Linked DNA regions of Xenopus tropicalis. The protein of the gene in region 2 interacts with the protein of the main gene of each other region in a pairwise test. Links are inferred from orthologs where the notes say so. Each region holds a gene or a part of one and is shown on either strand. Other genes may lie near its edges.

Region 1 (3,572 bases), on a different chromosome or scaffold from region 2:
ATTTATTGGCTTAAATAAATACAACAAAAACTAACATATAAATCATACCAAAAAGGACAGGGGTATCCCAGTGCCTAATGCTACCCACTCTCCTAACGCGTTTCGCACCGTGTGGCGCTTCATCAGAGGAGGTCTGTGTATGCCATACTCTGCCTGCCCTATGCTGCCTGTGAGAGGTGAACCTGGCAGGGGTTTGTTCTGGGAGTTTGTTAGTAGTTGGAAACAGCCATTAAATGGTCCCTAAGGTGTGTAATTATGTTGCTGGGGGTTGCTGTGCTATCCACAGGGGAGGAGGAGGCATATGGATTTAAGGGTGTGTCTTAATATGACATAATATAATTCTTTCACATATGAATAACTGTTGATATCCCCGCAGTGAGGACCAAGCATTTGGGTTTTTGGTGCACTACCACCATTGTGATAAAATGGGTGTGGTTTGAAGTAGGTGTGGTTCAAAAAAAGGGGAGTGGCCAAAACTGGCTTCCATTAGCGGCCCTCCACCGTGTATGCTAAAGAAATTCCGGCCCTCGGCACCGCAGAAGTTGGACAGCACTGGTATAAACTTTGACTAACTAGCATTATCTTCCCTTTATGTTTCACACCAGATTCACTGGTGTGCTGTGTGCACTGGCCTCAAAATTTGTGTGAGCATGGAAAAGTGTAAGAGGGCATCATGGCCAGTACTTTCTGCTAAACGGGATTCAGTTTTCTACTTAATTTAGCTACATAGTTTCATACTTAAGTTCTATGCAGGAATTTTTGGAGATAGAGGAGGAGAAAGAAAAGTATAACTAGAACATTATTTTATTAAAAACAGTTTAAGAAAAATCCTTCCAGTTTTTAAGTGAAGTGCGTGGGGCATAGGTTTCAATTATATATATATATATATATATATATATATAGCATGTTGCAAGAAGACAGGCACTCACGTATAAGTAGGTCCAAGGGAGCCTGGGTGCAGTCCCAAAATAATAGATGGAGTAGCTGTAGAGAGAGTCCGCACTCACAGGTCTTAAGAAAATATAGAAGTTTTATTCAAATCAACATTATTCAAATCAGTATATATATATATATATATATATATATATATATATATATATACAGTATATATACATGGATGAAGAGATGGTTGTAAGCTCTTTTGGGCAGGGCCCTCTTCACCTCTTGTATCGGTTATTGATTGCTTTATATGTTACTCTGTATGTCCAATGTATGTAACCCACTTATTGTACAGCGCTGCGGAATATGTTGGCGCTTTATAAATAAATGTAATGTAATGTAATGGTTAGACAATACCTGTTTTTTGTTTAAATAAACATGTCTTAGGAATGGCATCTTTACCTTTTTGTTTTTGGTTTTTTTTTTAGCACCAGTATCTTCTAAGAAATTGCTGTATTGAGTATGGATATGGGTAATCAACATGCTTCAGTCACAGCTCTTCAAGAAATACAGAAGAAGGTCAAAGAGATTGAACAACAAGTGGTGACATTTAGTGGTCTAAAGAGTGACCCAACTTATAAAAAGCTTGAAAAAGATTTAACTAAACAGTTATTTGAAATAGAATCTATTGAGACAGAGGGAAAAGGAAACATTCTACAAGCCCAAAAGAAAGCTACTGAAGAGACAGAAAGAGTTTTAAAGGAACTGGAGCAGAATGCAACCCATCCTTGCAGACTTGAGATCGAAAAGATCTTTAGTGAAACTCAGAGTTTGGTAGCGCTACATACTACACAATTTAGTGGGGAAGGTCAGAGAACAGATGAATTTGAGGAAGGAATTCAGAATATTTTGAAAAGACTTACTCAAGTAAAAACCGAGGGAAAGATCCCTCTAAGAAAAGCTAGGTACCGAACTTTAACTAAAGTTCTTGCCATTCAAGAAATTTTAGAAAGCTCTTCTAAACAACAAGTACTTTCTCTCCCTCTCTCTGCTGAGGCACATCCAACAGTTTCTAAAATTAACTCAATTATGTGTGATGTGAACAAAGCCAGATGCAGTCTCATAGCTCTTCTAGCTGGCGTCAATGACAATGAAACATACAGGCATTTATCTTGCACTCTTACTGGATTAATTGCAAACCTGGATGCTCTGGATGTTTCTGGCCACACAGACATAAGAGAGTATCGCAAAGAAGTTGTTAAGGAAATCAACAGTTTGCTGAAATATTTGGATTTAGAGGATGAAGCTGAGTTGGGAAGTGCTTATGACTTGGGCCAAAACCAGTCAATTGTAAAAATAGAAGAGATTCGCAAAGAAGCAGCAAAAATAAAGAACAGTCTTTTAGAAGTGCAGCAGCATATGTCTGACATCTATATGGGTACAAAGTCAGAGCTGCAGGGCCTCATAGCTAGCTTGGATGAAGTTAGTGTAGGGAGGAATCCTTGCATTCGTGAAGCTAGAAGACGAGCTGTAGTTGAGGTCCAAACTGTCATCACCTACATTGATCTAAAAGAAGCTCTCGAAAAGCGCCAGAGTTTACCAGAACACACAGTCTCAGAGCCTCCATGTTATATAGCTGTATGGACTGTCTTTGGACATTTATCTGAACTTCAAAAGGAAGTCCTCTTCTTTGATGGGAAGAGAGCTGATAAAAATTATATGAGATTAGAAGAATTTATTACTAAACAATTGCTGGCTCTTGATGCCATTGATTCACAGGATGGCCGTACAAAGGCTGCAAGAAAACAAGCTGTGAAGCTTGCAAATAATATCCTTGGATATCTTGATATGAAAACTGATGAATGGGAATACTAAAAAAAACACTGCTTTCGCTTTGCTTGCACTTTAAATATGGCTGTAAAGATGTCTCAGTTTCATCCTTGCATTATCATTGCAAGATAGGGTTTTTACTAAGCCAATTATCTGTCATAAAACAAAGCTTCAGTCAAAAGCTAGCCAGTTTTTGTTTTCATGTACCAATGGCGAAAAATTATAGAATGTTTAATGCTAAATATCCCAGTTTGACTTTATCAAGTGGAACAATAAGTGGCATATTTCTAGTTGTATCTCTCTTCTCATTTTTGTGCTGATTCTTAAATAAAAGTTCTGTCTTTTTTGATGGGGGTACAACATTGTCATTGTTATGTACACAAGTGAATAGTATGTACATTTTTAATTATATTGTTCAGTGTAAAAAGGCTGCTGCGTTTAAGGTATCTAATTACAAAATAGACATTGCAGCACATGCAGAATTAAAAGATGTAGTTCAGCTTGATTTCTGTTAATTCCTATGGGATTTTTAGAAGTGTGTTTATCAAATGATGAACTCTAACTTTTACCCAGTAATAAACAGAAATTAAGGGTGAATGTGGGTTTTCATGTATTAAGCTCTAAACTCATTTTTTAATAAATCAGCACCATTGTGTCATTATATATTTAGAGAATGTGCTTCACAAACCAAAATGTGCATCTCGTAATTCTGTACAGACAGCGAAAACATTCTTAAAGCATAGCACATGCTATTCAAAATGGGCAAAAAATTCAAATTGAATAAGGTTTTTTTTTAAAAAAAGATATACAAAAATTCACATTTTATCGCATTAAATCTTGCACAAGCTCTTGGCCAAAAAAAT
Region 2 (2,761 bases):
TCGTGGGCGACTAATCTCCCCATCTACCACGGCTCTTATCTGTGCATTGGGAATCTAATGATGTACTTTGCAAGGACCAAACATGGAGTCATTTCAGTTTCCCTGTTTAGCTCAAGAAATAAAAAGAAAAAAAAATGTTTCCTGATTAAAACAATAGATAAAAGTATGCTTAGCACAAGCCCTATTCATTGCATACCAGCGGAACAAAGGGGGGGGGGGTACTGTCACTTTAAGGTGTTTTATTAAGGCATTTATTTGGCTAAACTACCTTGTCCGGCTGAGAGGGTGCAGCCTGTGGCAGTGTGTGAATGCTACTGAGTTCTTTACCATCACATTCTCCCACAACCCCCTGCCATAAGAACCATAGCCAAATGCTGCATCCCTCCCAAAGGATTAATTAGCTCTCGTCCCACTTCCCCTAGCTCATTAGCACATTAGTCTCTTATTGTGTCAGTCACTATTGTAAAACTCCTACCAGAGATCAGACACAAGTGCAACAATATAAGAACAATGGAAGATAAAGATAACTAAGATGTTAAAATAACAGAAATATAAAGATAAAATGCTGCTTTTGCTCTCTTCTTTATCATTGGCTAGTAGCTGTGTGGTGTTGGCACCTCTTTCAAACCGGTGGTGGAGAATGGTAGTGCAAGTCTAGATGAGGCCATATCTCTGCTTTCAGTACAGTCCAGATGTGCTCCCCTGCCCACGCTGGGCAAAACATCAGTGTGCCAAGAAGGATCAGGGTTAGCCATAGTGAGCTCTTGTTCTGCAGTTGTATGCAGGGCACTATGGAAGTGTGCAGAGTATCAGTGCATAACCTGAACAGGAGATGTGAGGCAATAGGTGAGTACCACAGAATAAAGGCACACAAAAACAGTGCACAGCAAAAGAAAATTTAATTCAAAATCTTACACATAACTTTAAAGCCACTGATCATTTTTCATTAATGGATATTTACTTAGAATTACATTTTTTTTCACAGCTACTAGGGGCGAAGACACACGGGGTGATTAGTCAAGTAGCAGTGACTAATCTGCATAGTGAAAACTCGCGAGCGTTTACTTGCAGCGACTACTATTCTATGGCAGAAAAGTTGCTGCGATTAGTCACGACGACTAATCACCCCGTGTGTGTTTGCCCTAAATGCCAGAAAATATCCTGCCATAGACTATACTGAGAATTGCCTCTGCTAAAACTCACCTAAAGACAATTATCAGTAAATGATCACTACTGTCTATTTAAGTAGCCGTGACAAGTAGCTGCTACTAGTAACTATGTCTGTCTTCACCCTTAACCTTTCTAAATACACAATAAAAGAATCAAGGCTGCCATACATGCAAAGACTTTACTAACCCATAACCATGATACTCTAAAAAACCATTTCTCCACATGGCTTAGCCTGACTGTGTAAGGCAACCTCTCCCCCCGTGTTCCACTGGGAAGTGATGGTTTCTGGGTCTCTTGAAGTCTCTCTGCTTTTAATAATGGGAGGTGCACAGATTCTCTGGAAAGCAGAGAGACTTAAGGTCATGGTTGGGGGTGGGAAACTCATCCCTGCAAGCAGAGACAGACTATCTTGGCGTCCTTTCAATCTGGGGAATAAGTTATGTCTGTGTAAAGAAAATACATTTCTATTTATATCTGGAGGCTCAGATAGCGCCAAAATGGGGGAACATGTGATGTTTGCTGAACACAAGAACCATAAAGTGAGGTTGGCCTTTATGCAGCAGGCACATATTCCAAAGATATACCATTCAGTAGCAGGGAGCTCCTCACTGTCTGGTTCCTTGGCCTCCTTCCCTGTGTACAGTTGCACGGCTCTGCCCAACCTGCCCCACTGCCTTTCCCACACATTCTTCAGCTCAAGCAGGTAGTTCAGTTCTAGCAGGAAGTGGCCGCTCTGCTCATACAGCTTGGATTTTAAGGAGAGAATGTGCCGTGGCAGACAAGAGAAAAACATATTTGGTTAAAAGATATGGTAATATATCCATGTTGTTGCATTAACCCTTTCAGTGACAAGCTGCTTTTATTGTGCAGCGCTACAGGTTGCCAGACCACACAATGAAGCATAGACCAAAGTGTACAAATGTAGAATCTGTGGTGCTGGCATAATAGTATGTTTATGTTAGCACCATGGATTCTACTTTTTCTGTTAACGTAATGGTTTGCAAACAGTTTTGGAATAATGTTGTATTTCTCATGGTTTAGATATCTACAAATATTGCACAATATCACAAAATGTATATTTTCAACTCACTCTGGCTTAGTTGCAGAGCTATCCTTAGGAGTGGCCAATAGTGGTAGTTGCCCTGGGCTTGAGACGTAAAGAAAGGACCATGCAGTGATGGCAACTCAGAGTGGAGGGAGTGGGCTATTTTTATATGAATACATAGTAGCCCTGTACAGATCAGAGGAGGGCCACATCCACAGTCTCATCAGGTATTGATCAGGGAGGTTGGAATGTTGGTGCCATACACAACCAATAAGTCAGCAGTCAATGCCAGGCTGTTTATGTCCAGATTTAGCTTTCTTACCTCAAAATCTCAGCGACTGAGGCCTCTGAAGGTTAAAGTATTGTGAACAATTGATTGCACATAAGAACAATGACAATGGTGAAAGAACATTTGGTTAAATGGTCAGAACACATGGCCAGATATGATATGGTCGGCAGTTTGACCATACTATCCAGCCGTCTGATCACAGATGATCAGTTCCATTTGGAAATGTCTTCTGCTGATGCACCATGTTGGTTGATGTT

What was found.
Region 1: the proteins of ccdc155l (region 2) and bag5 interact in binary tests that used the Homo sapiens proteins (3 or more experiments, as listed by UniProt). The two-hybrid records come from large-scale screens. The link is inferred for Xenopus tropicalis from reciprocal best matches to the Homo sapiens genes KASH5 and BAG5.

The regions. Positions count from the first base shown.
Region 1 is NC_030684.2:98,469,433-98,473,004, reverse strand, and holds bag5 (BAG family molecular chaperone regulator 5), read left to right. Parts: upstream 1-1,367; 5' UTR 1,368-1,401; coding exon 1,402-2,754; 3' UTR 2,755-3,056; downstream 3,057-3,572. UniProt on the Homo sapiens protein: Co-chaperone for HSP/HSP70 proteins. It functions as a nucleotide-exchange factor promoting the release of ADP from HSP70, thereby activating HSP70-mediated protein refolding.
Region 2 is NC_030683.2:112,424,177-112,426,937, reverse strand, and holds the end of ccdc155l (lymphoid-restricted membrane protein), read right to left. Parts: intron 1,916-2,761; coding exon 1,755-1,915; intron 822-1,754; coding exon 623-821; 3' UTR 514-622; downstream 1-513. UniProt on the Homo sapiens protein: As a component of the LINC (LInker of Nucleoskeleton and Cytoskeleton) complex, involved in the connection between the nuclear lamina and the cytoskeleton.